Linked DNA regions of Drosophila melanogaster. The protein of the gene in region 3 binds, or shares a complex with, the protein of the main gene of each other region. Each region holds a gene or a part of one and is shown on either strand. Other genes may lie near its edges.

Region 1 (4,949 bases), 5.6 Mb from region 3:
AGTAGGCCATGGGCAGATGAAGTCCCCGGACCTCGTCCAAAAACTGCTCATACTGTCCAATCCTAAACATTTTCTCGCTAAAATAGGTGACGGCTTCCTCAGCCAACGACTGAAGATCTTGCCATGCTGCCGTTGAGCCGGCGGATCCGTACTTAAAGACGCGGACATAGGATTCCATCTGCTGGTTGTGTTGGTGGCGTAAAATTGAAAATCCTTGCCTGTACAGGGTATCGATACGCGCTTCTAGAGAAGAACGATCCGATCGGGAATTTAAAATCTTTCCCAATTGAAAAATGATGATGGCATCTGCTTTTGGGCCATTAACGCCGCGCACCGCTTCCAATCCATGTTGTAGTTGAGCTCGTTGCTCGGCGCGATTGCCTTCAGTGATAAGCTGGTTCGAGTTAAGTCGCACCACCAGATCCCACCAGTTACTTTGCTCCGGTGCGCCTAGTTGACCCACTAGATTGGCAAATGGCATCATATGTGGCCGGGCGGCAGCATTGCGGTTTCCCAAATTGGAGGAGTCATACACCTCACGCTGGATTTGCAATTTACGTCTGGTCTGAATGGTTGTGGCATAAAGGTAGAGGTCCACATCTACCTGGCTGATTGAATCTTGCCCACAGTAGTTTAGATTCTGCTTAACATCCCGTTGGAAACCCTCATAAAAGACCACGCGTGGCGCATCTCCAAGTTTGTTCGGGTCGGTGCCCAGAGCCAGGTAGACATGTTGGGCTAAGGAGTGTGGCGGCAGCACCAACGCTTGCAGTTCGTAGTTCTCGATATGCGCCAGATTCGGCCACTCAAAAAGAGGCAGCTGCAGACGCAGGTTCCGCACCAGATGCGAAGACGTATCCTTTAGCTTGTGTTCGGCGTGGGTAAAGAGCTGTTGGTAAATTTGACTTCGCCAGCTCTTGTCCAAGCATTGCTGGTGAGCGCTGGCCAACAGCTCTTCGGAGTCGGCAAATAATCCCGGCATAGAATTTCCCGAATTCTTATTCTCATCAAACTCGGCATTTTCTCTATCGTTTTTAATTTCCATTTGTGACCGGTCCAAGCAGCCCAAAAGGGTTCGTCCAAGCTGGGCACATCGAAAGGCGCCCTGAGGGCGCCACATCTGTATCAACTGCTTCTGTTCCGCGTCGCAGTGTTTTATCCATTGGTTGGTACTCGAATCATCGATCGGTCGCACCTGGTAACCAAGGAGCAGAAGTGGCAAAGCGGAGCGAAGCGTGCTCATCCATTTGTTTTTGTTTGCCAGAACCTCACGTTTGAAAATCAGTGTCACCGCGTGAAGCAGAAGCTGGCCGGTAAAGTGGTCAATACAAGCCTGGTGGAGATCCCGCTGCGGAGCGTCCCCTGACCTCTCTATCGAAGTGCTAAACTTGAATAGATATTGATCAAGTCTGAACAACTGCTTGCTGCTGTCTGCCAGTCCACTGCCCTCCAGGCTTAGCTGCACGAGACGATCGAGAGTGTGCAAGGCGAAGTGCCAAAATCGCCAGTTCTTCTTTACATCCTTGGCCATTTCTATCTTGAAAAGGACCATCCAGATCTGCTCGTACCATTCGTTCGACTGGCTCGTGCAGTTTTTCGACTCCAGTTCCGTTTTTAGAGCATAGTTGAAGGCCTGGTCTATTTTCATTTTTTCAACATAGCTGCGCAGCAGTTGTATGCGTATATTAACATCCTGGGGACGCGCCTGCAGCTCCTTGTACATAAGAATCTCGAGGGTATTTTGCTCGCCGTCTCCGCCACTGGTGTCATCTCTTTCGCCGTTACTGTCCGCAAGATTTACACGCATTCGCAGGTTGAAGACTTGCTTGTTGCCGCTTAAATCAAGGCTATTAGCCTGATCCAACCAGTACCTGGCGCACTCCGTGATCGATGCGTTGTTCTCCTTCACCAGAAGTTCGCAGGCGTCAATGACAACCTCTGACTGACGCGGATCAATTTGAATAGAACGTTGGTAGTGCTGCAGGGCCTCTGTCACATCGGGCGGGTTCAGCCTACTGTAGCAAGTGGCAATCATGTTATGGCCTACAGCGTCGTCCCTCACCCGGAGATAGCCGTTCAAATACTCGATGGCTTTTGGGTATTCCTGAACTTTCATGTACAATCGAGCTACAGCCAAGCCTTTGATATCGCGCTACAATATACATTTTATTGATTAGTACGTTAGGTTCAAAAAAGTCTGTTAAATTTTTAGACAATCACTGTGAGCTGGATAAGAATAACTTTGTAAGATTTGACTTATTGTGTGCTTATTATTTAGATAGAGCTACGTTAGACCGCAAAAAATCATTCAAATCCACAATGGAAATTCGAATTATTTTTGGCGGTCTTACAAATTCAGCGCTCACTCTAGCAGATTGATATGGTACACATAACCTCAAATATCTAATTTGATTTATACAGAGAAGGCGAAAGCCATGCAGCTGCGAAAAAAGCGTTCTATTTGTCAAGTATATGAAATGCAGCCGTTGAAAGAAAAGCGCGCAATTTCTTATTCAATCTCAAAAACGACGGCCAAGTGACGCCGACTCACACACACAAACACAAGCAGACGCCGCACGCACACAACGGTGTGCTTTCAATGGCGGCGCCTGAAGATTTCGCAATGATTTTCTTTTTGGAAATTCCGATGCACACTTTGGCCGTTTATTTACCTCTCTTCCCGGCTGAAGTTTTCCCAACATTTTGTGGACGTGTGCGTCCACTTCTTTTCGCGTTGTAAACATATCTGTACTTTTTTAAACACGTCCAATTTGCAGTGGACGAGACCTTGCAAAAATGTGCTTCGCGTTAGATTCTTCTTCACTCGTCATCCGATTGAAGCAGATTCCTCGAACGGTTAATTGCCCCGGCCGGAAAATCACGTAGATTCGGATGGGCAATTCCAGTCGCAACAAACTGCACTCGTTTGCGGTGTAGATTGGAACGTAAATATCACTAAATTCCAATTAAAACTTAAGCTGAACAGCACGGAAACCAAAAAATTTGTGCAAACTTAGTGCTGGAACAAAAAACGATGACTACGCGTTTTCATCGATGGGCGCGAATATATCGCGTCACCGATGTTTTAATGACTATAGCAACTATCGATTGCTACGATTTTTTTTCGAACAAACAAATAAGTATAAGGGATTTAATAAATAAATTAAAGAAGGTTCAAGAATAATATAAAACTTATGATAGTTTAACGAAATTATGAAATATAAATATAGAAATAGAGTGTAGATCATTGATATTCTTCTGATAAATCTTTTTTATATCATATTTTTTATATTCTTTTATTTATTATTCATACAATTTTATATAAATTACTTCATTTGCACTTTCCAGAAGAGCAGTTTCCTATCGGAAACCGCACTAATGTACGGCAATCGCTGGTGCCAGGCCATTCCCCCATAGGATTTCAGGGAGGCCTCCAGCAGAGGAACGGTCGACTTGGCCGCGAACACTTTGAGAGTCAGCCCGATGACCATGGCGATAACCATCTCGGAGCTGCCTGGCGCGAAGCGCACCACCCGGCCGCAATCCTCGTGGACCTGCTTGACATCCGCGGGCACATAGGGTCGGTTCAGGTCCCAGGTAACCACATCTCCGCCGGCCAGCGAGGTGATGAAGAGCCGGTTGCTGTGGGCCCAGTCCGCCGACATCAGGGGGAATTTGGGCGACTCCACGGAGATGACTGTCTGCTTGAGCGTCACATTGTATAGATGAATGATGCCTGCAAGGAGTTTCCTTAGTTACACCGCGGGCTAAACACTGGTAATAGCAAGCACACCCTTCTTTTCCGCCACAAGAACCTTGTTGGGATCCTCGGGGTGACTCTTGACGGACATTCCAGCGGAGGACAGGCCAAAGGTTATGACATTCTCCCCGCCGCCTGTCGTCGTCCAGAATCTGCAGGTGAAGTCATCGCTAACGGAGGCCAGCAGTTCGCCGTCGCAAACCCAGGATACATCGTTGACGTAGTCCCCATGCCCACGGAGCACCTGGAGCGAGGTGAACTGGCCCAGATCGGTGCGGTATAGTTTAAGCTGGCTGCCGTTGGCCGCGCACAAAGTCACATTGTTGGGCGTGCAGTTGAGCGAGGTGTCCGGCGAGAAGGCCAGTGCGCTCACGCTCCGCTGCTCCTTTTCGCCCAGGTCCATGTCCTGCAGGCGTGTGTACCCGAACTCGCCGCTCTCCTCCTGCGGATTAAGGGTTAACCATTCAAAATCATTCAACCTTCACTGGTCTTATGCATGGAAACCCACCGGCAGTCCAACGAGCAGCAGACTCAAGTGTTTCCTGAAGGCCACTGCGATTAGGTTGTAGGCAAAGTCATTGGTGCATATATCGTAGCAGTAGATGGCTTCATTAAGCTGGATGCTGTGGTCGGGCTCGATGACAGATCGCATCTTTCTATAAATATTGTTTGTTATTCGCGGGATATATGCAACAATTAGCCGGCGCCAAAAAAATGTTTATTTTAGTATGACCAAAAATCAGTGGAAGAATTTTCCAAGATTTTACACTTTTAAAAAACAGAATACGCAAAGAAATGTTATTCGAAAATATATTCGTTATTATGTTTAATGCTTACATTATTGTGCCTCAAGTTTTAATAAAAATGGCTAGTCTTAAAAAGAAACATAACAATATTTAAGTAGTCATACGTCGGCGAACTTTTTAATGATAGTAATAGTAGTAATGCCTAATATCGACTGTGTAGCGTTTGCTTTTTATAAAATTTATTGCTAATACACGAATAAAGTCAGAATAAATTTTGAACTCAAGCAACACACACTCCAGTATTGGAAAGCGTGAGCAGCAGAGTTGCCATCGCCCAGCTGTTCAGCATTATTTAGTGCATTCTCGGGCAAGTTAAGTTGGCTGCGATTTACCCCACTTCCTTTTCCGTGTTAGCTGTGAAAGAAAAAACATGCCGGTGGGTT
Region 2 (8,025 bases), on a different chromosome or scaffold from region 3:
TGACGGGAATCCAAGCCAGACGTGTCTGCATCTCATGAGATGTTCGAATGAAATAGGTGATAACCTTAGCATGAGCATAATACCATAGCAAGTATTTCATAAAAAAAGAAACCCTTATCATACTAGACTATAAATACTAAATAAAGTTCAGTACACACATTTCGCGTGAAGTAAAAACACAGTTTTTTTTTTTTTAATTTTAATAAAGATTTAAGATTTAAGATTTTTAATTTTAACTGGTATTCTTATTTCATGAAAACTGAACAAGCAAAACTATTGAGTTATGCAACACATTTATTATGAACTCAACGATAATTCATAAAGCTCGATCTGAAATAGTAAAATTTAATATTTCGTTAGTCGTATGCATTCTTGGAAATACTTATATAAGTATGCATATGTATGTATGTCGGTCGAACTTACCCGCCAAACGCTGGTTTCTGTGCATTTGAGTTTCCAGTCTGTGCTAGATTTCCGAAAGAGAGTCCCGATTCCTGTCCCCCCAACGTTTCAAAAATGTTTCCCTGTGCCGGCTTTGCAGCAGCACCAAAGGGTGGAGGGGAGGCTACTGGGCTGGCACCGCCAAATCCACCGAAACCCTTCGGACTGCCAAAGGTGGCACCTCCCCCAAAAGTGGGGCTAGCTCCAAAGGCCGGGGATCCACCGAAAACGGGCTTGGCTCCAAACCCACCTGGTGTCGTAGTTTGCTGCTGCGGGGCTTGTGGTGAGCCAAAACCTGTCTGGGCCACAGATCCACCCCCGCCCTGGCCAAATCCACCACCGAAGCCCCCCTGAGCTGGTGTCGTCTGCGTGAAGGAGCCAAATCCACCAGAGCTGCTGCCACCCCCAAAGATCGATCCGCCAGATGCGGGCGGAGCTGTTGCTGGTGATCCGAAAATAGAGTTTCCTCCGCCACCAAAAGGAGAAGCTTGCGGACTGCCGACGGGATTGGAGAATATATTCCCACCTGCTGCCGGTGCAGCCGCTGATGATTGACCAAACACTTTTTGGCCAAAAATTGAAGTACTTCCTGCAGCCGGAGCGCCGACTGCGCCCTGCGTATTACCTCCTCCAAAAATTGAGCTGGATCCAAAAGGTGTACTGGCGGATCCGCCACCAAAAATAGATCCTCCGCTATCGCCTGCTTGTGCTGGTTGTCCAAAGACACTTGGCTTAACAGCCTGACCAAAAATGTTACCGCCAGAGGCTGGTGCTCTAGTCGTGGGACTACCAAACGGCGAAGGGTTACTAATCGCGGCCGATGCAAAGAGACCCGCTGGTGGTGCATCTGGTGTTGCCGCAGCCGTGGTGTTTGAAGGAGCAGTTGTAGCTCCTCCGAAAACGCTGGTCTCCGCCTTAGGTATACTGCCAAAAATGTTTGCACTCGAAACTGGACTTTTTGCAGCTGACTGAAAGGGACTAGCCACTGGAGCCGCTGTTGATGTTGCTACTGCGAAGCCACCACCAAACACTGAATTCGACGAGTTATTGCCTGTAGATGTAGCGGTTGGGCTTTTGGCAGCTAAGGGAGCTGAAGCGCTGGTAGTTGGAGCTGCAGCACCTCCCGCACTTAGGGTGCTAAATGCGTTTGAGAAGGAGAACGCACTGCCGGGAACAGCAGTGCTAGATGTTACCGTTGTGCTCGATGTTGCCGGAACTGCTGCGGTAACTGCCGCAGGAACTACTGCTGGACTAGACACAGTCGTCGTAGCAGTAGTAGTCGAAATGGCTGATGGGGTGGTTGAAATAGGATCAGTTTTGTTGTTCGCCTCCGTCACACTTGTGGGAGCTGTTGCCACTGGTTTGGTACTGCCGAATAATCCCTTTGAGGCATCAATCGTTCCGCCAAATGAAAAGCTACCAGCGGATAAACCTCCTCCAAAAATGTTGGCTGGTTTGGTGGTATCTGCAAAGTAAAAGACATATATAGCCGTTTAGAGTTTATGCCAAATAAGCGTATACATTTATGCGTAAGGTATATTGATAAAGGAAACTATAGCTTACCTGCAGGAGTGTTGGGCTTGCAGATAGTCACAGAGCTAAAGAGGCCTCCAATAGGATCCGTGCTGCTGGTCACTGCATTTGTTGTGGTGACGGAAGGAGCATCAGTTACGCTGCTCGAAGCAATTACATTCGTAGGCTTGCTGGTGATGGTGGTTGTGTTGCTAGTGACCGTGGTGATCGGTTCAGAGTTGGATGGTTTCGCCAAAGCTGCTGAGAAGATGCCAAATGGTGCAGTTGAAGCTGATGTGGCTACACTAGTGGTTGCTGTGCTGGAAGGTTCAGATTTTGGCACAGCAGCGGCTGTTCCTCCGAAGCCTAGAGATGAACCCAGTCCGCCAAAGCTGAACGGGGAGCTGGAAGTATTTCCGACAGTACCTCCAGTTCCTGTAAATCCTCCAAATCCAAAGGATTTGTTTTCCGTCTCTGCCTTTGGTTTTTGGGGTACTTTTGACTCTTCTGTTTCGGGTTGTACCGCCTTGAATTCTTTGCTTTCTGCTGCTTTCTGCTCTTTGGGCTTAGTCGGCTCGGGTGTTGGTTTTTCGACCGCTGACAACGGGTTTGGTTTTGGTGTAGGAGCTGCCACGGCTGGCGATCCTGTTCCGAATGAGAGTGCCGACTTGGCAGCACCACCACCAAAACTAAAGCTGGAAATAGTACTGCCGCCGAAAATGGATAAACCCGGCTTGGCTGCTTCGCCAGGAGTCACAGTATTTGTCGTTGGCGTCACAGTAGATGTCTTCACAAATGGGATGCTTTGGCTGAAGGAAAATGGCGTAGCCACTGGAGTTGTCGGATGTGTGGGCACTCCAGGCTTTTCCACAACGGACGGTATAGATGGCATTGGTTTAGGCAGCGGAGGAGCCACTGTAACAGTTGCTTGTGGCATGGGTGCAACAGCTGGCGTGGGTGCAACATCTGGTGGTGAAGGCGGAGCGACTGCTGCTTGGGTGTATTTGTTGGCTGTTGCAGGCTTGGCTGCTGCCCTTTTAATTTGCTCCGCCCTACGTTTCGTTTCCAAAATAACCTCCGACTTGAGCCCCACTCGATCTGGTCGCTGGGGACAAATAACATTGATCTTCTGCAGCTGAACAATATTACGGATTTTTTGTAGTCTTTCTCGAGTGAGCTTGGCTGCATTAGAGTCCACTACCTGGCTAAGACTCATCGTGAGAATGGAGTCGGTCAATGTATCCACTCTAAATAAAAAAGTTATAGTCGCATAAAGAGAGAGGTCACAATAACTTCTACTAACGCTTCGTTGGTGCGGGTGCGACTTTTCTCCTGGTCGAGCAGTGCGGCCTGAAGCAATCCGCGCTCCTTCAGTTTGGACTTGATGTTGTTCTGTACAATTCGCTGGTTAGAAGTTAGATTTTGTAGTCTTGTCAGTCGTTGATAGATTCCCTCTAGGCAAGGCATGTGCATGCGAGACTTCGAATTGCGCCGCACAACATCCTGAAACTGTTCCCACTGCAAATCGACATGCTGCTGGGCAAGACGCAGCTGGGCCTCATTGGCAGCCACGTAGCTCTGAAGACGAGCTAGCATGCGACGGCCAGAGGGATCACAGGAGCTTGAGTTCATTAAACGCGTAATCCTAAACGAAAATTACGGGTTTTAAATAGCTTATATATTCAAAGAGTCCTTTACCCACTCTGGTTTTCTATAAATCTCCAGTTTCCCGCGGCACTCTGCTACGATGGCATAGGCCTCATTAAGACCCTGTCGCAATCCCTGTACATCTAACTCGAACTCCACATCCTTGGCTTGTTCATTGAGCTCTTGGAGGTCATCCAGTCTCTTTGCGTATGCCCTCAAAGCAGATGGTGCTGCAATCTGCGGAATAACAACTTTAATACATGAAGCAGTGTAATACCAACACTACTTACGCCTTTGAGGAGTTCCTTCGTCTGTTCCTTTTGCTTTTGGATATCCTTGCTAAAGGCTTCGATTTGTAGGGCAATCATGTCCTTGATAATAGGCTCAGTGTCATCAGGCTTAAGACTTTCATCTGCGATTTGTGGAGGAGCTGAAGTGGCTGGTTTTGTGTCCACTGGTGTGAATGTTAAAGGAACCGTGTACAGTGGTTTGTTTGCTGGAGCAGAAGCAGGAGTTGCGGGTACTGTTGACCCAGGTGCCGCTGTTCGGGGTGTCACACTGGCAATAGCCGGTTTATTCAATGCCATTCCCCCAAAGGCATTTGCTCCTGAAGCCGAAAACATGCTTCCCATGGCAGTAGTCGTTGCCTGCGTGCCAAACCCACCAAACGGTGTTGTTGGCTTGGCTGCATTGGTAGTTGGAGCACCAAACGAAACCGGACTAGAAGTCGGAGCAGTACCAAAAGATAGTTGCGGAGCAGGTGCCTTAGCTGCAGCTGCTCCAAAGCCAGAAAACAATGATGGTTGCTTATCCTTCGAGGGAGCTGGGGTTGAAGTAACGGTATTCGGTGTAAATGCAAAGGATATGTCCGAGGAAGCAGCAGGAGTTGCAGCTGGAGCCTTGGAGGGACTGGCTGCCCAAGCTGGCTGCTCTTCTTCCTCACTAGCAAGCAGCATATTCAACGGCTTGAACTGCCCAGAAGTATCGGCCACTGGAGGAGGTGGCGAACAAACAGACACCGCCGTCGGCAGCACATTAAGAAAGTTGAACGAGAGCAATTCTCCATCCGAACTCAAAACATGAACCATGGGCATAGTCTGCAGCTTCTTCTCATTTATCGTCAGCTGGTGCGTTGTAGAAGTGTCGAAGGCAAAGCCCAGCGGGAAGGTCTCATCCTTGTCCTCACTTAGGGGCATTTCAATGCGTGCCTCATCCAGCAATGTAAGCTGCTGCCAAGCGGGTGTATCGCCGGCCTCGGTTGACCGCATGATGCCCACCTCTACGCCATTGGCCGAGACTACGAGCAGCAGATTCCACTGGGGCACATGGCTAAATACGAACTGATGATTCCTCGGGCCGTTCATGCTATAGCAGATGTCATAGTAGTTTATGTAGCTGGGCGCACCAGCCTTGGGAGCATTTAGAATGTAAAGCGAGGGGCTACAGTCCTCGCCATGCTGGAGAAAGATCACTGCAAACTGGAAAGTCGACAGCCACTGTATAGCAATGGTGTCAAAGGGGGCATCATGTATATTCGGAGGACACAAAAGCGTCTTGGCCAGAGTCAGATCCGGCTTGAACTGCTTCACCGTGCCGCCGGGAAAACCAAGAACGATCTGTTTGCCCTTGGGCGACCAGCAGCCGCACTTAACTTGTTGATTTTTGTCCAGCGAGTGCATTTCAAAGTTTCCCCCCTCCTTCAGGGCATACATCGCGAGCGCTCCGTTGCTCAAAACAACGGCCAGGCTGTTGGGCAGCACGGGATTCCAGAGGAGCTGGACGCCGTGCACGTGATCCTCGGCGGCGAGGCGAATATTATAAACAGGACGTACATCAGGGGTCATGAACGATAGCACCGCATATATGCTGAGCAGGCTGGTGCCGTTCTGGGTGTGATTCACGGCCAGCAGGTTGCCATCGGAGCTGCAGGCAATGTAATTCGGAATACTGGGCAGTGGCACCAGACGCGCCTGCGGCTGTTGGGCTGTGCTCTTCGCATTGACCAAATCCTTTACAATAATCACTGCAAGGAGTGCCAGGATAAATTTATATATTTAGCCTAGCTAACTCAAGCTACATTACCTTTGAGTTCCGGCTGCGTTGGACTCCCGGCAAAGAGCAATCCCCGGCTACTGGAGACCGCCAGCAGGTTCACATTGCTGCGGGGCTCACCGCATTTTTTGAACGCAACAATCTTGTGGTGCAGTTTGAATTGAAAGTCCTGCGACCAAAACCAATGGAATGTTTGACATCTCAGTGCTATGCAATTGTGCTTACCTGCGTGTCCTCGCAGTCTGGTGCATTCTGCGCCATTTTTGTCTGTTTTCGCTCCTATTTCGCCAAATTTTTTGCGGCTTGTCGATTTCCCAATCGAGTCGATGGTGTGGCTGCAAGTTGAGATCGTTGGAAACGTTGGCAAGCAAAAAGCGCGCCACTTGCAGTACGGTCACTTTCAGGAAACTCACCACAAAAACTCACCACCAAAAAATCCAACAACATATACAATACAATCTGATTTAAATTTCATAGATGTTCCTTTAAAAAGAAAATGGGATAAAATCTTATATAAAAATAGTTTTCTCCTATAACTAACTGATGAACTTGTTAACTAAAAGAAACCAACTTAGCTTGAATTAAGTATTCACCAATCTTGTCTTAGCGGTTGACCATATGGCAATTGCACTTTGTTGGTATTTTTTCAGACGGTATTTTGTTTTGGACAGTATGTGCGAGAACGAAAATTTCAGCACATCGCTAGCGCAGCAGCCTTGTTGTTGTTCGTCTGTCTCTGTCCTACAAGCGTTTCTTTTTGTTTGCTGAGAATTAAACAAAAGCGATTTGTTCGCGGGCAATGCGAATGCATTTGCAAAGCAGGGCACAAAGCATCGGCTGTTTCGACTGTGATTGCACAAAGCCATGTAGTAGAGGTCGAGCTGGCGATTCGCAATTATCCACAGGCGACGCAACACGGTGCTAAAAATTGCGTAGCCAATTAATCTCGAAATCCTTCGAATTCAATCGCAGTTACCAAAAAGTAAATGAAATTTAAATCGACTTAAACAGAAATCTGTGGATTTTATTTCGATATTGCCCATAAAGTACCCCAAATCACATAATTTACGGAAAAGTCAAGGAAATTCCAGGTGAAAATTGGGGTTGGAAAGGAGGCCAGGATAACGGAGTGGACTCTAATTAAATACCCTACAGTTTTCCCCTAGAGCAGCCAGGCGACGCTCAAGATGATCAGCAGCCTGTTTTCGCGGCTTATAATGTGAGTAATAACCGATTACTACTATAGCAAATCCCGACTTCATAGCCACCGCAAGTGAGTGTGAGTGCGAGTGAGAGCGCTACAGCTGCTGACCCCCAAAAAAAAACAAAACTAACTTTTCAAGCTCGGCCTTCGAAAGCGAGAAAAGCACCTACGAAGCCCGTCGTCGTTTCCTAATTGTGTGGGCGTCACGCTTCTGATTTCTAAGTTTTATACATTTCCGTGGTTCCTCGATTCGCTGATTGCCGGATTGTTTGTTTATTAATCAGCTGTCGCAAAGTACCGTTCACTTGTGCGCGAGTGTGCGCGGCCTGTGTGTGTAACCCTCGATTGAACTCCTAATTTGGAGTTGCAACTTTCCAAGCTTCTGCGTCTCTGTGTTCCCGAGGCCGACGCACTCGCCTCGCCCGATTTGGGTGCAGAACATGTGGATATAGCCTGTCGGCGACCCGGCGACTCTCTGTGACTCCGCTATTGTTGTCAATATTTATAGATCGCAACTCGACGCTTGCCCATAGTGTGGCACAGTCGCGGCCAAGTAGCTAGCACCTCATTTGTTCAAGCACACAATACCTCCGTTAGCATTTTCCATTATGTCAATACATCTTAACTTCGAACTAGACTTTACTTTTGATAATGAAATTAGTAATCGGTTCAAATCAATAACTAACATCATAGTCAAGATATATAGTTCTTACATCTAAGGAATTAAATCGAGGCGATTTCTCCCATTACTCGCTAAAGTATCCTTTCCAAATTAAAGATTCAAATATCTTGATACTGAGGTGCTATTTTCTTGAACGCCTCTGTCGCAACATTCGGAACTGCGGCGCATTCCTACGTGTAAACATTGAGTGCTCCTCTGTTGCTGGTTCTCTCTAGACCCGATCGTGGGTTTATTAATAGACCTCTCGCCTGAGCGTTAGACGCCGAGCTACGGCAGTCTCTGCTCGGCGTTCTAGCGGCCAGGAACTATCTGCGATCCGTGCTGCGGGCAATGCATCCCCGTTGCCATGAGGCCAATCTATCAGCAGGAGCCGCCGCTCTTCTACCAGCGGCCAGCTAATCTCCGCCGCCTACGTCATCCGCCGGGCACCGTCTACGGACGCAGTTACTCGCTCGAGGACCAGCCAGAGGACGTGATACCCGTGTAT
Region 3 (4,250 bases):
CCTGTCTGTATGTCTACAACAAGATCGATCAGATCTCCATCGAGGAGGTGGACCGCTTGGCGCGCCAGCCAAACTCGATAGTGGTTAGTTGCAACATGAAACTTAATCTGGACTACATGATGGAGGCGCTCTGGGAAGCTCTCCAGCTCATCAGAGTGTACACAAAGAAGCCAGGCGCTCCTCCAGACTTTGACGATGGATTGATTCTGAGAAAGGCAAGAGACTGTTTTCCATTCATCCAATTCCTTCTTCAGCCTGGTAAAGCAACTCTAATTCCTTATATATTCCTTGTTTAGGGCGTCAGTGTGGAGCATGTGTGCCATGCCATCCATCGCACGCTGGCGGCGCAGTTCAAGTATGCCCTGGTGTGGGGCACCTCCACGAAATACTCGCCGCAGCGCGTGGGGATTGCCCATGTGATGGCCGACGAGGACGTCATCCAGGTGGTGAAGAAATAAAGATTGTTGCGTGTGAAATATATATTCTATGCTATAACTGAAAGTGAAAGTCTAGGCCCCTTTCGACATAACGATTTATTGAAACTTGTAAAGAGTGCCATTCTCAATTGCCTGTCGCATTGCTGGCGGAACTGGCCGCCGCTGCATAGGACTTGTTCATCAGAGCCGAGATGTTGGAGAAGGGCGTTGGACCGCTACTAATCCGTTGAGGTTCCACCGTCGGCAGCGGAGGATTGTCAATCCGCTCGAAAACGTTGGTGGTGTCTCGCAGGCGGTAGCGTCTGAGGTTTAGGTAGTGCTCCTTGTGCTCCTCCACCCGCTGATGCACCTCGTGGAGGCGTCCCGCCAGCGAGATGAAACTCTCATTAAGTTGGCGAAAGCCACGCTTTAGATCATCCGGCGAAATACTCTGCGGATTCGAGATCGCGTGCATGTGGCGCTCGGTCAGAGCGATCTGCTGGCGAAAGGCGATCAAATCCTGCTCGTACTTCGCCACCAGGCACTGAAAGTACTGGAACGGAGCATTGTTCTCGAACTGCAGGCCGGCTGGGGTGTCCTGCGTGCGTTGGGCCATCTCCAGAGATTGAATCGCCTTGACGGTCTCTTGGCGCATCAGGCGGATCTGCTGATTGCTGCCCTCAACTAAAGTGGCCATATTCTGCAGCGCCCATTTCAAGTTCGTGATCTCGTGGCTGACATTCGTGAATTTGGAGGTGGATGTCCGTCCAATGTCAGAGGAGATGGTCTTCTGCTGTTTGATATACGCTTTTAGGCCATCCACCGTTTTTATTATCTCGTCGGGCACTTGGGTTTCCTTAATCTGGAGTGGTCGAAAATAAAATGATTATTTTGTTTCTCTGTGAAAGACTCATGGTCAGCACCTTGATGCCATCTTGCTTATTGTCCCCCAGCTTTGGTTGCGTGGCGGTCACATCGATCCCCCCCAGACCCACGAAAGTCGATGCTGCCGGGGCAGCTGCCTGACCCGCTGGCTTGCTAAAGATTCCTCCTCCTCCTAGGGTTGTCGTCGCATTGGTGGTTCCCAGTTTCAGACCCGTGTTGAAGGGTTGTGCCGTCGCCGTCGTCGTGGTTGTGTTAAAGTTCAAGCTGGCCGCCGTGGTGGCCTGTGGCTTGGGGAAGGAAAACGATCCAATTCCGGAGCTGAGGGATGCTGGCATCGCAGCTGCCGCCGTTGTGGCGGTGGTGCCGAATCCAAAGGCCGGCGGCGCGGTGGTCGGCGCACTTGTGGCCGGGGTGGCAAAGGAGAAAGTGGGAGCCACAGTGCCCACGGCTGGTGCAGGTGCTCCGAAGGCCGATGCTTGCGTGGAAGCTGGCGCTCCAAACGCCGTTGTGGCTGCTGGTGCTCCAAAGGCGGATGTAGCGGCGGGTGCTCCAAAAGCGGGCGTGGCGGCGGGTGCTCCGAAAGCGGGAGTGGCAGCTGCAGCTCCAAAAGCGGGCGTAGCAGCTGGAGCTCCAAAAGCCGACGTTGCTGCTGGTATGCCAAAAGCGGGCGTGGCAGCAGCCGTTCCAAAAGCCGGCGCCGCAGTGGAAGTGGCGCCAAAACCAGGCGTGGACGCAGGTGCTCCAAAAGCCGGCGTAGCAGCTGGTGCCCCAAAGGCCGGTGTGGCCGCGGGAGCTGCAAACAAGGAGGTGGTGGCCGGAGCAGCACCGAAGGTTGGCGTAGAGGTGGCTGCTCCAAAGGATGGAGGCGGAGCAGTCGTCGTCGCCGGTCGCGCGCCAAAAGCAAAAGCGCCGGTAGCAGCAGTGGCGCCTCCAATGGCGTTGTTCGTGGTGGGCGTAAACATCTTTAGGCACCCCTCTTAAGGATTTATACAGGAATTTTAAACAATTAAACTATATTTACTGCAACAAATTTCGAAATTAATTTTGTTTAATGCCTGAGCATCTGTGGTTTAACTTCTAGGACAGAGATGACACTATCGGTGATATCGATAGCTAGTCAGCAGAGATTTATTCGGAAAAATATCAACAAAGTATTCAAATTGATTGAAATAAATACACTATGGCTAAAGATATATAAAGTATTTGCAGCTTCATATAGTTACGATTTGTGATTTTCAAATATTTAATTTTGGTCTGAGGTGTGGTGAGTTCGGTCCACTACAACATGGTTGTTATTTAATATCAAACGATAGCCTTCAGATATTAATATGAATAAATTATTTCAAAATTTAATCTTTATGTATTTCAATTTTAAAATAATATAAAGAATTTTTTACGAACTAATTTCTTACAATAGCTTTAAATACAGCCGGAACTATTACAGTGCGAAGCAGATTAAACGCTGCATTTAAATTAAAATGAATTAAAGTTTACAAAATTATAAAAGAAAAATATTCATGATGGGAATAAATGAGAAAGTTAATGCTTACAAAAACGTCAAATTATTTAATACTTCTGGCCAATACAATACCAAACAATAATATACAACTAAGCTAATCGATATGCAATCGACCGAGCCATCTCCAAGAGTTTCGCAGCACCCAGCTTTCCGGCACACTGCTTACCCACACCAACTAGCCACCGTGGTGAGTTTGCGTGTGTGTGACTTCGTCATATGACATTTTTCACAGTTCGTCGTCGATTGTGATTCTGTCGCACTTGCTTTTTTCGACTTGCACAGTATACACCACGGCGAGGAATTAGAGAAGTTTGGAAATTATGGCCAGCCAGACGCAGGGAATCCAGCAGTTGCTCGCTGCCGAGAAAAAGGCAGCCGAGAAGGTCGCCGAGGCTCGTAAACGTAAGTTTCATTTTCAGAAACAAAAATCCAATTGGAAATGGCAGGGCGACAAGTAACTGCGATTTTTTCACCACCCCGCCCCCGTGCTACCATAACCACCATCACCGTTGTGTGTGGGTCACATGATGTGGTGGAAAAAAGTAAATACAAGTCAATCCTCCATAACTCGAGATATAAATCAAATTAAACTAAATTAAATTAAATTAAATTAAATTAAAATTGTTTGTGGCCACTAAGACTGCAACTTAAGTGCAGTAAATAGTTTTTGTGCGAGTTGGCACTTTAAGTTATGGAAGGTCATCTTGCGGAGGGCTGATTTGCCAAGTTGAACTGATATGATCATCTGGATTTCTGGGTAATCCCGCAGGCAAGGCAAGGAGGTTGAAGCAAGCCAAGGACGAGGCTACCGAGGAGATCGAGAAGTTCCGCCAGGAGCGCGAGCGCGCCTTCAAGGAGTTCGAGGCCAAGGTAAGACGCCACATAGGGAAACTTATGTACATGTAATACCGTGTGAACCCCGATTACAGCACATGGGCAGTCGCGAGGGCGTGGCGGCCAAGATCGATGCGGATATCCGCGTTAAGCTGGCCGACATGGACCGGGCCATCCAGACCCGCAAGGACCCGTTCATCCTGGAGATCCTGCAGTACGTGTACAACATCTCGCCCGAGGTGCACAAAAACTACAACCACAAGTAAAGAGGTGGCCCCCCAAACTGTGCGCTGTAAATTCAATGTCCACGTTCAACTCTAATCCATAATTTAGACCCGTAATAATAGTGGTTAATCTAACTGGAAACACTGCTGTATTATTATTCCATACATTAAAGTGAAAATTCGTTGTTGTTCCATGTAGAAAAAAGCGAGCATATTAGTTTGCCTCCCACTCGCGCGGGATTGTATTATCATTGTTTTGTGTTCTGCCCAATACACGTTGTTGTTTTATCCGAAAAGTCATGTGTTTCAATTGTTTTCCTCACTTTCTTCCTGCTCGCATTTTTCATATCTGCACTGCAGTCAGCTGCTGCG
Region 4 (7,969 bases), 4.1 Mb from region 3:
AACTGGAGCAAGTGGTAGCGCAAATCGTAGACGGGCTTCTTGGTGTCAGTAGGTGCGTCCCTGTAGCTGGGCTTTGGGGGCTCCGCATAGCACTCTTCCGCTTGGAAGGCGTCGTTATAAGCATTGAGTGCATCGGTGATAGACGATGTTGGGGCTGTGAAATACCATAGCTGCAGGGCCAGTGCTGTCAGCCAGTTTTTATTCTCGAGTAAGTTGATGGCCCCATGTGAAGACTGCATCATTGGCGCTCCGGCGGCCAGCATGTACATCTTAAGGCGCTCCAGATCGATATACTTATCCGACTTGCTCTGCTGCCAGGCAAAGAGCTGCTCCTCCATTAATAGCCGGAAGACAGCTCCGGAACTTAATTGGGACAGCACAAGAGCCAGATTAGCATCATCGTAGCTGAAGGCCAGCTCACAAGCCTCATTTACGCGATGGCAGCTAAGTAAATCCAACATGTGCTCCAGGTAGCTGTGGGTGCTAACTTTTTTCGAGAGTAGATCTTTGCCCAGCAGCGTGTTCTCAAGCCACTCGGATAGCAGATTGCGCCGACACATGACCATGTAATGAGAGTTCTTTTCCAGGTCCACCAGTTCATCGTGATCGCCCCATAGTGCGAATAAAAGCGACCACACTGACACGCTATAGTCCTCTTTTAAGCCAGCATTTCTCTGCTTAAGAGACTCGGAGAAGTGCTTGGAAACTAGTTTCGTACCGCTATCGGGATGTATACACGGGCACTCACTACCCTCCACATTAACTGAGAGGCAGTCGTTAAGCTGAACTTCGAGATGGGGAATGATACTTTCTCGAAAACCCTCGTTGCCTTTGACCATGTTAAACTCCACCAACTGCATTACACTGGGCGACAAATCGGTGGCCGAGCGCGGCGCAAATACCATGGAGACGGGCAGGGATGGTCCAGTAACTGAAGCAAAGGGAAATTATTATAATTGGACTGCTACAGCTTGTTTCAGATATTCTTACATTCTTTTAGGTTTTGCATGTTATTATAGGTGCTTGGCAGTACCAATGAGTTTTGTGGACCAAAACTGAGCTTAAAGCTGCGTCCTTTGTAGAATCCCAAATCGGCGATCCAATTATCGCGCATCTCATAAGCGATGGACCTGGGTAGGGGAACCGTGGTGGCACGCAACTTAATCGGAGCCACTTTGGGCTTACAGACAAACTTGAAGGCTTTAGTGACAGGCATTTCAAACTTCGTTTCTTTTACAGCTGCAACAATGCTTCCAGTTGCCATCGACGATGTCTGAAATTGATCAGGATGTTTATTGGGCTTCAAAGTAAAAGGTTACGTCGATATACCTCCTCATAATGTGCATCACACATCAGGCTGGCCTCAGAGACGGAGGAAGAAATCGGCAGAGCGGGCGATGGGTGTTCAAAATCGTACTGACTGGAACTCTCGGAGGCACCATCTTTCCAAACAAGAGGTTCCACGTTGAAAAACTTGCGATGACGAAGAAGACGCCCCGTAGTCTCTGTAGAAATTTATGAGTAATTTTCAAATGTATAGTGGCCGTGTGGGATGATAAGCAGTGAATTGTTGTAATTATAATGAATTGTTGCCAAAGCAGGCAAAATGAATTGGATTTACTAACACATTTGAAAGCTTTATTAACTTTATAATTTGTGCTACCTTTTTAAACATAAATATATATATATAATACTTTTTGCAACGATCAAAAATCATTAAATATCGTTGATAATTAACAATACATATTTGCTCAAAACTAACGATTAACATTTAAACATCTACATATCTTTTACTGTAAGCAATTTGAAAGACCATCAAGAGATTATCCACCTACCCATGGGTTCGTCCTCGGGAGCATTGTCCTCCACAAAGAAGGATGACTTCATTAGCTGCATTTTGTGCGCCTCGTTGCCTACCATTTCCTGAGCCAAAACAGCTGTGGGACTGGTAATCGTTGGACGTTGACGCGGTGGATCAAACATGGAGAAATCGGAGTTGCCACCAGCTTGGAAAAATTCTGCGAATTAAAATTAAGTAAATTACAATTAATGAAACTAAACCTTTTAAAATGGACTTTAGACGTACGTGTTTTGTCCATTAAAAGGAACTCGGCGGTATCATCCATTGGCCTGAATCCGCTGGCAACACCTGCGACCAAGGCTTTTGGGTCCAAGTTACGGGCTGCATCTTCTGAAATCTTCTGCGCTTGGCGCAGCGAATTGAGCGTCATCTTTTCTGCGTTTGCCCGCTGCTGAGCCTCAAGCGTTGCAATTTTGGCTTTTTTCGGGTCAGTGGGCAACTCGTCCTCTTCGTCGCTGTCTCCCAGGCCATATTTAGAAAAGTGCTTGACGCGGAAGACCCAACTACCCGTTTCCGGGCGGTATTCTATAAAGCGCGTATCGTTTTTATCGCACACCCGGCGCAACTTGCCCTCCCAGTCCATCTCAAGCAAGCGTTGTGGGTCCTTGATGGCTTCGTGCTTGGTCTTGTCCAACGGCCATACTTGGTCCAAAGTGACCTGGGCGTCACGGTTTAGACCTTGACCAATGGGCGGCTTGTTTTCGTCGTCGGGATAAATGATAATCTCCTTGTTGCGAAAGTGGACTGTGATACAAATTGTTTTGCATTAAATAAATGTATGAGAGCAAACACAAACGGTTATAAAAAAACACAAGACTCTTACCAATCTCATCGAGGTTCAGGCCAGCCACATCCATTTCCTTGCCGAAGAAGACATTGCCGTATCCTTCCCGACCCACCGTAAAGTTCGGAACCACACAGGATCCGTCCTCGGCCAGATAGGAGCGTAGGTCGTCTAGCGATGGAATTGTATAGTAACCCACGCGTCGCAGCACAATGCCTGTTGGATGTGATTCGTCGTCTGCTGCCTCTGCAGCAGCTGCCTCAATGGCTAGGCGGGATTGGTTTGCTGCAGAGTCCTCTGCCTCATTAGATCTGTTCGAAAGCACACTCTCATTGGCCTGCTGCGAAGTGAAGGTTTCGCGACGTGCAATGGTGCTGGATTGATCCTCAAATGGATTCTCTGGGATGGTTGACACCGAGAGGCGAACGGTGGAGGATGGTCGGTATGTATCTAAAGGTTTACGTGGCACAAGCTCGTTGAGGGTGCTGTTATGGGGCGATCCCTGATCCATTCCAGTCTGAATGTTGTGCTGGCGTACCTTCTCAAGGTTGTTAGGATGCAGCCATGACTCACGGCGGCCGTTATCCTGACTTTCCCGTCCATTCGTTGCTCCAGGCGAGTTTCCAGCTGGTGGTAGCGGCTCACTTGGAATGGCTCCGCTAAACGACTCGCGTTCTTTGTTGGGAGTTGCGCCTTTGGGTCGAGATTGGGGCGTGTTGGGAGCACTGCCAATAGAGCTAGAGGGATTTCCACCCTCTACACTTTTTACTTTGGGTTTGATAACTAATCGTTTAGCACTGGGCTTCAGATTGAAGCCCTCTACAGAAGCATCAAACTCCTCGAGACCATCAAACAGCGATTTTCTATTAAGTGTGCTGCCCAGCGCCTTTACCTTCATTGGAGCAGGATTGTTGCTGGTACTTATCTTGTACTGGTTGCTGGTCAGGTCCAGAACTGCTTGTTGGGCAGCAGGATTTGTAGCTCTTGTTGCATCTGCTTCACTGCTTAGCTTTAGATCCTTGAAAATCGGAGAGTCTCCGTAGGGAGAAGTTACCCTAGCTAGGATCTGCTGATGAATGGGCTGGTGTGAAGGCGTCATGATACCCAGTGTGGGCTGAGCTCCCATAATACCACCAGTTAACGAGTTGTTTGTACCCATACCGAAGCCTCCTCCGCCCAAGGAACCACCGACACCTCCGAAACTGGTAGTTCCTCCTCCAAACAGTCCTCCCGTTGGGGCAGCACCCGTGCCACCCAAGGTTGTAGTACCTCCTCCAAAAAGACCTCCTCCCGGCTTGGCTGTATTTCCGAAAAGTGATCCGCCCGTGTTGCCTGCGTTGAAATTAAGTGGTGCTGCGCTGGTGGCTCCAAAACCTCCGAATCCGGACGTTGCTGGCTTGTTCAATCCCGAGTTAAAAAGGCCTCCTCCCGTTGCTGCTGTACTGGTGTTCAGGCCAAAATTTGAAAACGGAGTGCTAGCCGTGGAGGTTGCGCCGAAAGTTGGAGCAGCAAAGCTAGTGGCGGGCTTGTTTCCGAAAAGGCCTCCGCCGGCGGTGCTTGTTGCTGGAGCTCCAAATCCAAAACCTGTCGTGGCTGCTGATGCAGCCGTTCCCAACCCAAAGGCTGATTTATTTGGATCGGCGGCTGGTGTGGCACCAAAAAGAGTTGACTGTTGCGTTGCTCCGGCTGTGGTTCCAAAGCCTCCGAATCCTGTGTTAGTCTGTCCGAAAGCAGGAGCCGCACTGGTAGCAGGTGCCTGACCAAAGAGGCTTCCTCCCTGTCCAAAAGCAGGCTTCGCCCCAAATGGATTTGAAGCGTCAGCTGCGGGAGCGGCAAACGGAGTGGTGGTGGTGGCTCCAAAGGGCTTTTGCAGAAAGTTGTTTTGCTGGGTTGCTGCTCCGAATGCATTGTTAGTCGCCGGTTGTTGGCCAAAAGCGGTGGTGCCAAACATGCTCTTATTCTCGGTCACAGTTTGGCCAAACAGACCTGTGCTTGGTTGGGCAGTGCTTCCAAACAGGCCACCACTTGCAGGCTGAGCGGGCTGAGTAACCTGAGCTCCAAATCCAAAAGCTCCCGGAGCATTCCCAGCCTGTGGACCCTTGCGCCCGCACATATAGTCTTCCAGGCGGAGCTCCTCCAGAGATTTGCCCTCGAACTCCTTCATAGCCGTGATGCAGTGCTGCTTAGTGTTCACACTATTTGCCTGACCGCTCTTCATCAGGGTATCTGTACCAATGGTTGGCTGGTACTTGGCCACGGCCGTGCCCGTATTGACTCCGGAAGCTCCCACGGCCGTAGCCTGAGGTTGGGCAAAGGCGGAGGCGGTGCCACTGCCAAAAACATTGGTGGTTGTAGGCGCCGACGTCCCAAAGCCTCCGAATCCTGTTGTACTGGTGGCGGCAGCCGGTTGGCCAAACAAAGAGCCCGTGGGCTGAGCAGCAGCTGTTTGCCCAAAGGCCGTCATAGTCGGCTTGGCGGCTCCAAAGGCGGGTAGCGTCGATTGTCCAAAGAGGGAGGTGCTTGCCGCCGTCTGGGTGGATCCAAATATGTTCGAGGTCTGTTGCGGCTGCGAGAAGGCTGCAAAGAAGAAATTACTAAATTAGTAACATGATACCACTTCAAATGATCGTGTCTAACCTCCAAAAGCCGTGGGCTGAGCTGTGGCAGTGCTTCCAAATCCCGTGGACGTGTTTGCCCCGAATAAGCCTCCGGCGGGCTGAGCTGGTGTGGCTGCCGCACCGAACAGTGACTGCTGCGCGGGTTGGGCGGCAAAGGTGGAGGTGTTTCCAAAGGCCGGTGCGGCGGGTTTGCCAAATGCCGACTGGCCAAACGGAGTGGTTGTTGTGGTGCCGCTGAATCCGCCAAAGCTGGTGGCCGCCGGAGTGGCTCCGAAGCTGGGTTTCGCGCCGCCAAACATTTTGCTCGCTGCTGCTGCTCAGATAACAAACATATACTAGGTAGATCCCCTGCTTTGTCCTTCGCCGGAATGCCAACTATCGCGATGAGCAATGCTTCGATTTCACCACGTTGGGCAAGCTGGGGCGGCTGCGCCGGATGCGAAGGTTGTGGGACCGGACAGGCTTAGCTTAAAACAAATAAACACTCGCGAATTTGTCAAGTCAGCAGGAGTCGACCGAGTCTGACGCAAAAAGTGGACAGAAATGGCGCGCCGATTTTTTCACGATGTTGAAGAAAATGCAGCCAAAAGTGTGACCAAGGCGTGAAATCGCATGCAAAAATACACTGTAAAAAAGCAGGATACAACTGCCAGGCGCATAACTATTGACCATAACTTATTTATGGTCTTAATAAAATTTTTGCTTGGTGCCTCCGAAGCAAATTTACTATGAATGTGTGGAAAATGTATTTTATAACTTGGGTTTCTCGTATTTTGTAGGTAAGCTCGATTTTCACATTTTTATGTGACCGTACTGCGAACAAAGTGAAAACCCATTTGACATCAACGGTGTGAACACGCTGTAAGGGGCACTCTATATTTGATATTTTCGATTGGGAACAGTACGGTACTTCTGGGCATCGAGCACGCTCATTCACAACAAACAGTTGAAACGCGCGGGTTGTTTTCCGAGAGCGGTTATTTAATTAATTGGCAACTGTCACACACGAGTGTGTGTGCGATCGAGTGCGTGTACATGTGATAATTAGCTGAGCGGCAGCGGCCAACTCCCAGCCCAAATACAAGTCGAGAACAAAACGAGCGAAAAACGGCGCAAAATGCATTTGCGGAGCGACAATTTGTGCGGAATGCTAGCTTTTGTGCAATAATTATTTATTGGTTGCAATTGTCCAACCGGTGTGCTTTTCGTCGAAATCTGTAGCGAAATCGGAGGCGAAATGCTTGTGTTGGCGGCATTGTGAAAACGAAATCAAAATTTCAACTACGTGTTGCTCTTTTGCCGTTGCCTAATTTAATGTCTTGTTGTTTTTATTTTCGCAAACGAAAGTCCATCGCTTTGCATGTGTGAGTAGCGATCGTTTGTCGCCGTGTTGGTGGTAAAAGTCGGCGCAAAAACAACAATATCAGCAACAACACTAGTAGAAGCAACAACAACGAGAAGAAAAGCCTTCAAGATGAGTGTGTGGAGCGACTGCAATGCCAAGCAGGCAGAATTCGGCATTGGTAAGTTGGCAATGCGGCTATTAAGCCGATAAATTAGGTAGAATATGGCTAGGCAGGAATGTTTAAACAAAGTGCTTTGTAAACAACAATAAAGGAAAACTTTATGAACTGTTGGGCGCTCTTTTCCAGAGCACACCTCATCTCCACCCCCACCTCTCTCTCTAACTCTCTCTCTTATTTCACCGCATGTGTGTGCCTCCTGCTGCGTTGCTACGGTAAAACTTGTTGCACCTTCTCGCTTGCACACGCTCACTCGGCTGCTGTTGATCCTCCCTTTCCCGCTCTCACTGTGTTGTTTCGTTTTTCATTTCATTTCATCCTGCTCAGTCAACACTAGCATAAAATTCTGAGATTTGCTCTTGAAACTAAAACCTGTTTTCTATTGTCTCTCTCGCTTTTCATACTGTCTCTGTCTCTCACGTGCAACTGCAACACACTGCCAGAAAAAAGGCCTGGTACACATAAAGAAATTTTATACAATTAATGTAATTTTACATAAACTTAAATCTGAAGTACTACAACATTAGTACTACAACTTTTACGTATTTACGGGTGTGGGATTTGAAACCTGGTCTTTGTAAACCCAAGGCAAGCTGCATCAAGCTGACAGTAGAAATGTTTATTTTCTGTGTACACTGTGAGACAAATCCCAATTCAATGGCAGTGACCATGAAATATCTAATCGCGACCCGCTTCGAATGCGTGTGAATTTTTTATGGATCTCGTTTTGTTGACCTTTTCACCGCTGATCAATAGATACGACAGGTACATAAAGTACAGGTACCTCTAGTCCCAGGTAGATCGAGTGGAACTGGGAATCTCGTTCGTTAACACTCGAATGGAGCTTGCCGGTGTGTTTGCACTTGTTATTTACACACGTTTGCCTCTGCCTCTGCCCTTTTTTGTGTTTGCGCGTTTACTAGCTGTCGAAATCGCTGCGAGTACGAGTATCTGATAGTACCATTGGGGCGTGGCCAGGTGGACGGGGGTAGTGGGTGGTGAGCGGTGGTTGGTGGTATAATGTAATTAAGCGCGATAATATTTGGAATATGGGGCGGCAGATAAGTTAGTCGTTGGCATTGAGTAGCGAATTTGGCCTTTGTAATGCGAAAACGACTTACAGCATATACGAAATTCAAAAGAAACTCCTTATCAATAGCAGTTTGATGTATTCTTGTCTTAT

What was found.
Region 1: Nup58 (region 3) and Nup358 share a complex: the UniProt entries of both Drosophila melanogaster proteins name them as parts of the nuclear pore complex.
Region 2: Nup58 (region 3) and Nup214 share a complex: the UniProt entries of both Drosophila melanogaster proteins name them as parts of the nuclear pore complex.
Region 4: Nup58 (region 3) and Nup98-96 share a complex: the UniProt entries of both Drosophila melanogaster proteins name them as parts of the nuclear pore complex.

The regions. Positions count from the first base shown.
Region 1 is NT_033777.3:25,247,426-25,252,374, reverse strand, and holds the start of Nup358 (nucleoporin 358kD), read right to left. Parts: upstream 3,028-4,949; 5' UTR 2,745-3,027; coding exon 2,673-2,744; intron 2,153-2,672; coding exon 1-2,152. Other genes in the region: Nup37 (nucleoporin 37kD), read right to left, coding at 3,327-3,736, 3,794-4,202, 4,269-4,412; RpS27 (ribosomal protein S27), read left to right, coding at 4,937-4,942. UniProt on the Drosophila melanogaster protein: E3 SUMO-protein ligase. Component of the nuclear pore complex (NPC), a complex required for trafficking across the nuclear envelope.
Region 2 is NT_033778.4:22,918,742-22,926,766, forward strand, and holds Nup214 (nucleoporin 214kD), read right to left. Parts: upstream 6,002-8,025; 5' UTR 5,914-6,001; coding exon 5,878-5,913; intron 5,822-5,877; coding exon 5,683-5,821; intron 5,624-5,682; coding exon 3,891-5,623; intron 3,838-3,890; coding exon 3,656-3,837; intron 3,599-3,655; coding exon 3,257-3,598; intron 3,201-3,256; coding exon 2,005-3,200; intron 1,907-2,004; coding exon 424-1,906; intron 331-423; coding exon 306-330; 3' UTR 196-305; downstream 1-195. Other genes in the region: CG30187 (uncharacterized protein), read right to left, coding at 1-31; ReepA (receptor expression enhancing protein A), read left to right, coding at 7,885-8,025. UniProt on the Drosophila melanogaster protein: Part of the nuclear pore complex. Serves as a docking site in the receptor-mediated import of substrates across the nuclear pore complex including emb, RanGAP and phosphorylated Mad. Protects mbo/Nup88 from proteasomal degradation at the nuclear pore.
Region 3 is NT_033777.3:19,643,178-19,647,427, reverse strand, and holds Nup58 (nucleoporin 58kD), read right to left. Parts: upstream 2,403-4,250; 5' UTR 2,264-2,402; coding exon 1,340-2,263; intron 1,279-1,339; coding exon 562-1,278; 3' UTR 522-561; downstream 1-521. Other genes in the region: CG6195 (uncharacterized protein), read left to right, coding at 1-215, 297-458; Vha13 (vacuolar H[+] ATPase 13kD subunit), read left to right, coding at 3,141-3,222, 3,590-3,690, 3,750-3,920. UniProt on the Drosophila melanogaster protein: Component of the nuclear pore complex, a complex required for the trafficking across the nuclear membrane. Together with Nup54, required for transposable element silencing regulation in ovarian follicle cells.
Region 4 is NT_033777.3:23,775,603-23,783,571, forward strand, and holds the start of Nup98-96 (nucleoporin 98-96kD), read right to left. Parts: upstream 6,020-7,969; 5' UTR 5,563-6,019; coding exon 5,283-5,562; intron 5,223-5,282; coding exon 2,685-5,222; intron 2,606-2,684; coding exon 2,087-2,605; intron 2,019-2,086; coding exon 1,836-2,018; coding exon of another isoform or gene 1,816-1,835; exon of another isoform or gene 1,614-1,815; intron 1,506-1,613; coding exon 1,330-1,505; intron 1,274-1,329; coding exon 991-1,273; intron 932-990; coding exon 1-931. Other genes in the region: mbc (myoblast city), read left to right, coding at 6,738-6,786. UniProt on the Drosophila melanogaster protein: Part of the nuclear pore complex (NPC). Required for MAD import as part of the Nup107-160 complex and required for nuclear export of Moe probably via its association with Rae1. Plays a role in nuclear mRNA export.